Drosophila melanogaster: one gene and its partners. The protein of the gene in region 1 interacts with the protein of each later gene in a pairwise test. Each region holds a gene or a part of one and is shown in the gene's direction. Other genes may lie near its edges. The genes, in order: CG15710, CG10948 and CG13991.

What was found.
Region 2: the proteins of CG15710 (region 1) and CG10948 interact in a two-hybrid assay, tested with the Drosophila melanogaster proteins (one large-scale study listed by BioGRID).
Region 3: the proteins of CG15710 (region 1) and CG13991 interact in a two-hybrid assay, tested with the Drosophila melanogaster proteins (one large-scale study listed by BioGRID).

The regions. Positions count from the first base shown.
Region 1 is NT_033778.4:16,347,065-16,350,634, reverse strand, and holds CG15710 (uncharacterized protein), read left to right. Parts: upstream 1-2,107; 5' UTR 2,108-2,168; coding exon 2,169-2,966; 3' UTR 2,967-3,021; downstream 3,022-3,570. Other genes in the region: wcd (wicked), read left to right, coding at 3,240-3,570.
Region 2 is NT_037436.4:12,848,238-12,851,993, reverse strand, and holds the start of CG10948 (uncharacterized protein), read left to right. Parts: upstream 1-1,876; 5' UTR 1,877-1,958; coding exon 1,959-1,962; intron 1,963-2,202; exon of another isoform or gene 2,203-2,254; coding exon 2,255-2,836; intron 2,837-2,898; coding exon 2,899-3,624; intron 3,625-3,756. Other genes in the region: Wbp2 (WW domain binding protein 2), read right to left, coding at 272-685, 841-1,079, 1,197-1,496, 1,663-1,718.
Region 3 is NT_033779.5:6,137,349-6,141,104, forward strand, and holds the start of CG13991 (uncharacterized protein), read left to right. Parts: upstream 1-2,033; 5' UTR 2,034-2,200; coding exon 2,201-3,756.

The DNA.
Region 1 (3,570 bases):
AAAACTCATTACATGCCACAGGAGCCATCATCCGTGATTCGAAAGATAGCACATAGGTGGAGCGATGGAGCACAGGGGCAGGTGGCCAGGCGCCACGCCCACAAGGAGCGACCGCAACATGCTGTAATGCGTGGCTCTATCAGCATTTGCATGTGCAGCTGGAGCTGGAGCTAAATGCGCCCGATACTTAAAGCCAACTAAAGGCCATATGTTAGCCTACACTGCCAAAGGACAAACTTAATGTCAACACGCTAATCTGTCAGTCGGCAGGAGTTGCAGCGCAGGATGCGAGATGCAGGGCGCGGAATGGGGGATACTGGCATGGCGGGGAGTTGGGAGTGCGACTGCAAAGGATCTGCCACAATGTCAGGCCACTTAAGGAGCGCTGAATCGCAGCGCCTCGCTGCACAGGAACTCAAGGATATTGGAAGTGGGCGGAAAATGGGCGGGGAACACTCCCAGAAAATGCAGCGATTCTTAGACAAACTTCAATCCTTGGAACTTGATTAGCTATTATTACTTAAGGCAAACGATTAAAAAAGCTTCTGCGTAAAGGATTAGTAGAAAGATATAAAAGAATCCCATATTCTGTTAATCTGAAATCAACAGATTCTGAAATGAAAAATATTCATATTTCAGATAGCTTACTTCAAAATAACTAAAAAGAATAGCCTAAATGGTTTAAAAAGCATATAATACATTCAAGAATAGTGTATGCTTTTTAAATAATTCACAATCTTTTGAGGAAATACCAACAACCCAACTTCGCGCTGCTTAAAATTAATGATAAGTATGTTTAATATTTATAGAAAATTATTTGCTAGTGTATCGCCGCCTGGATGGCGCAACAATAATGCTGGACCCTTTGAAATGACAAAAATTGGTTGCTCTCCGTGCGGCTTGACGCCTGACTTGGCAGGAGACACTCGAGGGCACCACAAATGCCAAGCCGTCACCCACCCAGGCACCCAACTAAACACCCACTGCTCCTACAAGCAACGTCCTCCCCCCGCGAAGGACGCGTCTTATCAACTATGCAGGGCTTTGTCTCTAAGCGATTGCAGGCGCCACCCCCCCTTTCCCTTCCAACCTGCCCCTGCCCCCTTTTGCTCCACGCAGTCAGCGTCTTTTGTTGCGCTTAATGAATTTTACGTAAATTTTACGAGCGCTGATTTCTGGCAGCAGCAGCACCACCCCAGCTATTAATCCACACTTTGGCGAGAGCACCACCCCCAGTGGATGGGTAAATTAGTGGGTGGTTGGGTGGTTAGTGGGTGGATGAGACTGGTGCTCTCCTGGTTGTGCGTGTGTAATGACAAGTTCAACAACAACTCGACATTGTCGACTGGTGACGAGGACGACGTGCTCCGACATTTGTTTGCCCAAGTTATGCAAATATTTTTCCAGTCAAGAAGTTTTTGTTTAATTGCATATTTTGACTCGCATTACGCGTGTCATAAAGCAGGGATCCGGAGCTTACCACAATGCCAGAAGTTGGGCGGGGATTAGAGGCACTCGAAAGACATGTTCCTGCATTTTACAGTTCAAAGACCAAACTAAACAATCAGTTTTACGAGTATAGATCTTATTCTGCCCAGGCTTGCCATTGAACTATAGCTATCTTCCTTAGAAATTAATTTAAATTAAATTTATATTTAAGTCTCTAAGATGATATTTTAAAAATAATTCCTAACACAGACGAAATCATGGAGAAGCCTTTAATATGGTTCATAAAACATAATTTATTTGCTGCGTTCGAAACTGTGAAGCTGACCTACTTCATTTAAAAACGAAATTAAACCGAATATATATAGTATGTATACTTCTGCTTTAGACAGTAAAAATGCATGAAGATTGTTTGCTTAATTGGTTAAACTAAATGATGGCTAAATATATTACCACCTCATTTATGGTAATCCGAATAAAACGTTTAATTTTTTTTTGGAGGAAAGCGTTGGATTCGAATTTCATTGCCTGGACAAATTTAAAAAGTTTACATTTTTGAGGCATACCTATCGCGTATACGCTTTCTTTCTTTTCCAGCCCTGACAGTTTCCGAGTATCGAGTATCGAGTATTACTTTCTATCTTTCAATGACAATGACCGGCGACTTTCTCACTTTCTTCGTACGCTTCTTACTGGCGAAACACAAGAGCCCACAAAGGATTATGACAAGTGCTGGCAACTGGATTTCCGAGGAGCTGGAACCAGCTACTCTACTGTCGATTCAGGAGGATAATGGTATTGTTACCAAGGTGTACGTGGCGCCCTGTTTGCAGCCGATAAAAGAGGAGAAAGTTTTCCTGGAGGACAACACGCAACGCTTCCACTGTCCGCTTTGCTCTAATGTGATTCGCACGGCCGGTGCCTACAAGGTCCATCTGATGGCCTGCCAAAGACGCTTGGCACGCATGATGAAGGATGTGCCGGACGTGTCCCAGCATCAGTGCAACATTTGCAAGAAAATCTTCTCCTCGGTGGATGCCCTGATCGGCCACAGGCTCCTGCATGGAAGCCCATCAATGAATCGCACCTGTGCATCCTGCCATGTCAAGTTCGGGACGGATCTGGAGTATCGCACCCATTTGGAGAGCCATCTGATACCGTGCGAGTCCACGGATGAATCCTACGAAGGGGCGTACACCATCACCAAGACCTTCAATTGCGTCTTTTGTCGCACGGAGTTCAAGGCCTGCTTTAAGCCTGGCCAAGTGACCCGTCGATACGCGTGCGACGCATGTATCGTAAGGCTGAAGGCCCAGGAGGAGGAGAAAAAGATCTTAGGGAAGAGAAGGCCCGAATTAATCTGTGATCGTTGTGGGAAAAAGTACAAATATGAGGGTTTCCTTCACCGTCATCTGAAAACTTGCCAGATGCCGGATAAATGCAAAAGAAAGCGTGAGATTGAAATCACCGAGGTCAGCGAGGTAACATTTACAGAAGTTGTGCAAAGTTTTAATAATTGATTATACAAATTCGCACATTTTAATTTTAAATTAAATAAATATATTTTTTAATTGTAATATTTTTTATAATTTTCAAATTATGGCGCCCATCCCACCGATATCTATTTCGATCTGCTATCGATGTGGTCACACTTATCGATAAATCCACCGTGGCGTGGTATTTTTGATTTAAAGCGTTAGTCGATTTCCCGCCCAGCTGCACGTGTATATTTTTTTGCGGTCCAAAGAAAAGTTCGTAAATAAACGAATTTGCGTGCATTTCCAGCGAACACGATGAGTTCAGACGAGTCCAGCGACGGTTTGGAGGAGCTGCAGAGTCTGAAGGCCCTCTACGGCCAGCAGGAGCAAGAGAAACCGGCAAAGATCAAAAGGGAACGTTATATTCCAAAGGCCTCGCAGGCCAAGGAGCTCAACTATGTGGAGGTGCCCATGGAAAAGGTGCTCTTCGGCGACAGGCAGCGACTGCTCACCAATCTAGCCAAGTCCGTGGGACAAAAGTTGCCGAACGATGACGAAGACGAGCAGGAGGAAAATCCCGGCCAGGCAAAGCCAGGCGACAAGCGGAAAGCCGCCTGGTCGGATTCCGATGACGAGGACCTGCAGG
Region 2 (3,756 bases), on another chromosome or scaffold:
ATAAACAGAACGAATGCTTCTGAATGGTTTTTGGATGCCTCTTGAATACTTTGAGCGTCCGAAAGCAAAAGGTGGTTCATGATACTTCAATTAAATTCTTGATAACATTTTAGATCTTTAGATGTTTCGACTATTTTAAAGATGTTCATAATTTTCTTGTCCTTTTGCTCATATTTTTTTATCTTTTGCTAGAATAAAACCAATTTAGAAATGTGCATTGTGGGAGGGAAATGTTAAAAAAGTGATGAATGGGATGATGAGTTCTACTCACTTCCAGGGGGCAAGCTGAAGCCCATAAAGCTGGCTCCAGATGCGGCGGCTCCTCCAGCTGCTCCTGCTGCTTGTTGTCCGGGTGGCGGTGGTCCACCTGGATAGCCATTTGGATTTCCATTCGGTTGCTGAAATCCGGGGGTATTAAATCCGCCAGGAACATTGCCGTATCCACCATATGGCTGTGGACCATTGTACGTCTGAGCCGGAGCGGCGTACGGCGGCTGTGGTGGACAATTTGGGGCACATGAAGCGTACGGCGGAGGTTGGACATAGCCACCGGCCCATCCTTGTGGCCCATAGCCCGGCTGCTGTTGTTGCTGCTGCGGCGGCGGCGCTGAAAAACCATACCAATTGGGTTCATTCGACGACGGTGCCTGCGGCTGTTGCGGTGCTGGTTGGTGAGCAGGTGGTGCTAAGACGAAAAAGAGAGGAGTGCCCCATTGGGTTAAACGAAGCGAGTGCGTAGCGTGAATTTCGTGGGTAAGCCAGGTTGCCAATTCGCGTAGCCAGCGTGCCAAAACAAAAGCCGAGTATAGATTGGGTAAAGTGCACGTGCGTTTAACTTACCGATACCCGGATACGGCGGCGGATTGTCGCTCATATAGACCGTATTCGGCGCAGGGCCGCTGAATGCGTCATGCTGCGGCAGCCAGCCATAGTAGCCAGGTGGTGGCTGATATGCCGGCGGTGGTGCCTCATTCCAGGATCCAGCCGGCTGATATGGTGGCGGATCATCACCAGCCAGACCACCGCGGTGGTAGTTGTTCATCGCCGTCTTGGCGGAGCGCAGTAGAGCTTGACCATATCTATAAGAAATGGACTTGTTAATCAGAACATTATATATTCTCTTGAGTCTATTCAGTATTAAGACTTATCAAGAGATCCGTCTAATTAGTTTTAATTTAGGTGCACAATGCACTTACTCAATTGCGCCGCCTGCCTTGAAATGGAGCTTGAACTTGACCTCGCCCACGTAGTTTCCATTTGGCTGAGCGCGAACCTTTCCCTTGATGTAGTTGGCCCCGAAAACGGGCTGTTCGATTTCCACATCCGAAAGAGCAACAAACGGGGCACTGAACGACTGCATCGAATCCGAGGACTTCTTGCTATTGAAGATCATTCGGTGGGAGGTGAGATAAATCCTGCCACCTTTGGAGCCCTTGAAGATGGGATTGTCCTGACCGGAGAACTCCATGGAGACACTGTCGCTGTGGAGCAGTATGCTGAAAGTGTAAAAGCAGTTAATTTGTGTGCCATATTTCTATCTTATCGCTGGAACATAGGCTAATTTCCTTTCAAATCGCCAGCCACACGTCAGTGTTTACATTTATGACGTCAGGGATGTTCAGCATTTTCAGTGTTAATTAAAGGACTTTTCCGTTAACTTACTACTCTCCAGCATGGATGAGCACGCCATTGTTGGCGTGAGCCGTATTAACCGACATGTCTCTTTAATTTTCCAACTGTTTTGAGTCCACAAAAATTTGCAAAAATTTCATACAACTACGTTTTGTTTTTCTAGAAAACTGACGACAGCTGATGATTCATAGTGAAAAGTGTGGCAGCGCCGAAATTATCGGATATCGATACTCTTTTTAGGGTGACCAGTACGAGCAGTCACTCATCTCTAAATATAATTAGTTTTTTTTTATACATACCTGTCGTACAATTACTGGGGCGTTAATATGCGTAAGTGATAAGATAATGATTTTAAAAAGCCCACAAAATGTGTAGCAAAGAAAATGGAATAAATAGAAAGGTCTGGGAAATTAAGAAACAACAGTATTTGCGGTGAATTCGACTTTTATCAGCAGGTGGGACTTACGCCATTTTGGGCACTTGCCACCCCCCAGCTTTTATTTCCTTTTTTTACCTATCGAAAATTGAGGTGCTCAGCTGATTGGTTATTTTGTTTTGCTACCGGCTTCGTTTGGGTTGTTATCTCTTTTAAAGCAAATTACAAACTGTGTACATTTTGCAGTACCGCTCTTTGGGACCATGCCGAATGGCGTCAGTTTGCCAAATCACCCGAATTTCCTCAACCAATTGGCAGCTGCAATTTCCACGGCGGCCTCGAGCACATCTGTCGTGGGAAATCCCTCTTCGCCCCCCAAACAGATCCAGAATAAGATGGCAAAACAACAACAACAACCACAGGGCAGTGCGCCCATGGATCTGGAGAATGAGAACGAACACTCTGCGGATGTGAGCTCCTCGACGATGCACAAGGAACCCAAGTTGCAGGCCACATCCAACTCGCTCACTCTGCCCGATTCGACGCAACTATACCTGAATGGCTTGGTGCACACACCACCTGGATATCTGTATTTTCCGGCCACCCAAGCGGGTGGTGCTACTGCACCCGGCAATCCATCCTCGGCTGCAGGGGGATCCACGCCGGCAGCTTCAGCAAACAGCACCGCCAATGCGCAAATGCTCATGGATCCTACGGCCATGATGGCGGCGGCGATGCAACAAATGCAACAGATGCACTATGCAGCGGCAGCAGCAGCCGGAATGACCACAGAAACCGGAGCTGGACTAGAAGCAACTCTTAATGCGGGTAATGAAAGCAATACCAAATTGGAACCTTAAATAAACATTCTAATAAAAACATACTTTTAGATGGCGTTACACCAGCTGGCCTCAAGGAGGTGATCAAGACCAAGAACTGCATCCTGTTTCCACCTAATCCGAACGCACCTCCTCCCACAATAAGGGAGCGACCACCAGGATGCCGGACGGTGTTTGTGGGTGGACTGCCGGAAAACATAACCGAAGAAGTGATCCGGGAGATCTTCGAATCATGCGGCGAGATCACCACATTGCGCATGTCCAAGAAGAACTTTTGCCATATTCGCTACCGCCAAGAGGGTGCCATAGATAGGGCCATCTACCTATCCGGCTATAGATTGCGTATATCAGCGCTAAATGAACCTCCCAACTTTGGACGCCTGCATGTGGACTACGCACAGGCACGGGATGATCAGTATGATTACGAGTGTCGACAGAGACAGCATCAGAGGGAACAGCGTCATCGTGAGCGCATGTCGATGGACAGGATGCGATCGCAGTCGCCGCCACCAATACCGCACTACACGGATCACGAGGCTACTACTGTTGCGGAGCACCTACGCACCAACGAGACTTTTGTAAAGGCCATTCAAACGATTACCGCGTGGCTGGAGCGGGGAGATTGCACTAAGCGGAACGCCAATGTCTTCTATTCGATGATCCAGAGCACTCATGCCCATGTACGAAGACTCCATGCAGACAAACTGCAACTGGAGGAGGATCTAAAGAAGGCCAGAGACAGCTATCGCAACCAAATGGGCACCATGTCCACGCAATGTAAGTATTTCGGCCTTTCAGCCGGAAGATCAGCTTTCTTAGCTCTAGTCTAGACGGGAAACTAGGCGCCGATCCCACTTTGAAATCCTATTTTTCTGTTTACGTTGCGCCCGGGTTAGCCTTTTAGCGTCT
Region 3 (3,756 bases), on another chromosome or scaffold:
AAGTATCAGGCAATTTTACAGCCAAATGACTCGACTAGCACTTACCCCGTTGTTATTGGCTAACCTCACATTCTAGCTTTTATGGCACCCGTCTGAGTGGTTAACCTTAGTTGATCAAATTTTTAGAAAAAAGTGCTTTTGGTTGCATCTTGTTCAAATTGATTGACTTGCCGGCACTTGGCCATAAACCAATGTAATGCTAAAAGAAAATTGCCTTGTCTGAGCGGTGGAAAATGTATGTGTAATGAAATTTGCAGCGTCAATTGCATTCGTCTACTGGCCACACATAACGAAAGAGCCCGAAGGACATAGACCACTCATAGATCCTTCTGTAAAATGGTGGACAAAGAAAAGCTTTCTTTGCCGCATGTGTGAAAAAATGTATATGAAAAGTTACCCAATAAATTCAAGAAGCAAAACTTGGATGGTAGCCGACTGTGGCATACCTTTTATTGATTCGGATTAGCCTGAAATATTAAAAACATTGCTATTTAAAAGATACTTTTATAATGTTTCCGAAAATGGATATTCAACATGCAGATTATGTTAAATCCTAAGATATAGTAAGTAATCGAGATAGAAGCAATTTGGGGGAGTGCATTTATAGAAACATCATCCTTAAAGTTCCCGCAAACGCCTCTTCACCAAAATGGCAAATTTTACTGCCCGAAAGAAGTCAGTGAAACCCAATACTCAGGAAACTGGGTCTCCAAGGAGCATGCCATACAGTATGTACCCTTCAGCTTCGTCTTCATTTCCATCAGGCGTACCTATTTTATCTTTTTTCCACCGTGCCTTCCAAAGATTCCGGCGACGATGTCGGTTTTAAATTACTCAAAGAAAATGAATGTTACAACAAAAGTGAGTTTTAGCTGGCAAATTGAAAAAAAAAATGAAAGTCGAAAAGAAATTCGCACGGAAGCTGGCGGAGTGAATCGAATCGAATGCTTTACATGTTTTCCTCTAAAAATGAAAGAAAGTTAATTTAATTTGAAGTCTCGAATGCCCACATATGTGTCTTGTATCTGCATATTTGTGTTTGAATGCACGCGTGTGTGTTGGATTGTAAACGTAATTTAATTTAACCAAAAATGCGTTTATCAGTTATTCGAGTGCTTACTGTACTTGAAGCTTAAAGTCAATTAATATTCAATGGAAATTTCCGATACTTTCTGTCGAATACTAAGTGCTGTTGTAAATTAGCCAGAGACAAAACACTAATTGAATTAAGCGGATTTGCAAATTTATTGAACATGATTAAAGCAATTGCATTTTGGCTGGGCTTTACCATATTTCCGTGTGTGAGTGCCCAATTTTGCACTTAATCACTATTAGCAGAGATTTCTATAACTATAACATTTACCTATAACATACTAACAATTTCCTTCTTCATATAAAATAAAACAATCAGAATTCATCGAGAAAAAGTTGAGTTGATTGATTGTTTTTGATCGTCTTGCGCCCTACTGTACTTTTAAATATTATTGTTCATATTGTGATGAAATTTAATTACTTTTTAGAGTGCAGACATTTTAAATTATTCATTATTTTCTGATTGCACATATGTGGTACATACATATGTACATATGTGTAAGCCTGCTGGAGTGGGCAGTTGTATAACCAGCGCACGCAATAAGAAAAATTTCAGTTTTTAATTAAATTTGTACGGAAGTGAAGCCGTATTAAACGGAAATGTTGAACAGTTTGAATTCAGACCCGGCCGCCACCTCGTCATCATCGTCATCATCATCAGCAGCATCATCATCATCATCATCAGTGCCATTAATATGAGAATCATTGCCAACCTTCATTTTCGCAACATCCGTGCCTTTGTGTTGCCTGTCAGGTTGATTTTTGCGCTCCCGATTCAATTTTCACTTAACTCAATTTAATGGAGGCGGTGGCGAAAAACCTACTGGAATTCAAATCCGTTCGAAAAACAAACTTCTGAAACAGCAAGAAAAACTTCCAGAAAAATTTCGAAAAGGCTACATTGTTGAACAATTCATTTTAGTTTTCTACTAACTTCAACTTATAAATTCGTTCTACAGTTTTGTGGCTTTTTGTTAAAGCCAAACTGGGCAGGTTTAGCTCCAAATTTCATCGAACTACGTCCTATGCTGTTGAAATACTCCTGCTTGCCAAAAATACGCCAGCTTATATTTCTATTTGGATATTGGGCAGCCAGAAGAACCTAACGATGTCGATGCAACACCATAACTTGGCTGCGAAGAACTACCGCATGGAGACGGTGAATCGCACATTAAACATGCGTGCTCGGAACAAAAATGAAAGGGAATTGATTGGTGGCTTAACTGAGGTAATGGAGACCAAAGCTAAGACAAAGCCGAAAGCTGAAGCTACCGGCAAGCGGATATGTCCACCGCGTAAGAATCCGGAACGCAAGACGCGAGAGGAGCGGACCATCGAAAAGTTCCGCAACATCGACTTCTTTGGTCAGCGCGACTCGAACAATATATTGACGGTTCAGAATCTGGAGTTTCCCGACGTCAATGTCAAGCGCACGGAGCTGCACAAGCGCGACGAGTGCGGCAAGGTCGTTATCCGGGCCAGAGGACGTGACTTCGAGAGCTCGAGCAACTCCCACTTCAGGGATGGCATCGAGACGGTGAAGCTACGCAAGAGTGTCTGCTCCACGACGAGCACGGCAAAGAAGTCACAGAGCGACAGTGGCCAAAACGGCGGATCGATCAGAGAGTCGTCCGAGAAAGAACCGGACTCGGACGAGCTGGTTGACTCCATGCACTTGCCCTCCACGCGGCCGCCCCATTTCAAGGGCGAGGAGTGGCGACGACCGTGCCCGGCCAGCTTTGTGGCCGGTGCACCAAGGCCACGCATTGGCCGATGTCCCAAGAACTACGAGCAGCTGGCCAAACTGACGCCCGCCAGGCAGAAGTTCTTTCTTACCCAGGATCCGCGAAAGACCCACTGCCTGGTCAATCCGGTGGCGTTGCGCCACAAGCCATTGACCAAGGAGCAGGAGTTCAGCCTGATCAGTAAGCTGGTCAAGCATGGGGACAATCTCTGCGCCAGCACCGCATCGGAGACATCCGACACGCACATCTGCGAGGTGATCGATCTGCAGAATCCGCTGCGACTGGACTTTCACGGCATGGACTACAAGACGACGTACGAGCAGGACGAGGTGGAGCAGCAGAACGCGCTGACCTTTTGGCGCGTCCAGCGCTACATGGCACGGCGAAAGGCGAAGAAGAACACCAAGGTAAATGTCGAGGCCGAGCTGAAGGAGGAGCGCCTGGCCGTGCCGCAGCGCTACAATACGACGATCAAGGATACGCCCATAGAGACACCATCGCCGCCGCCATCGCCACGGCTGGTTCATCTGTATCGCAGTCCGGACAAGCCGGCCAACAAGCTAAAGATCGAAGAGGAGCGTCGGCGCCGCGCCGCACGCTACAAGGACATCTATCTGCGAAAGAAGCAGCGCGAGGAGGAGCAGCTGCTGGAGCGGCGCAAGCAGGAGGCGGCCATCAAGGAGATCGAAGGACGCACGGTCGCCGAGGCCGATCTGCGTGCCGATGTGGCCGTCATCGACGATGCAATTGAGCGCAGCTTTCGCAAACACGTGGAGCTGAAGCCAATTATACGGAAACGTAAGGTCTTCCCCAAGACTCTAACCGAAACGGAGCGCCTGAAGGCCATCATGCACCGTGAGGATTGTGTGCGTCGCGACAAGGCGAGGGTCACCCAGCAGTTCTATCTGGAGCGCACTGG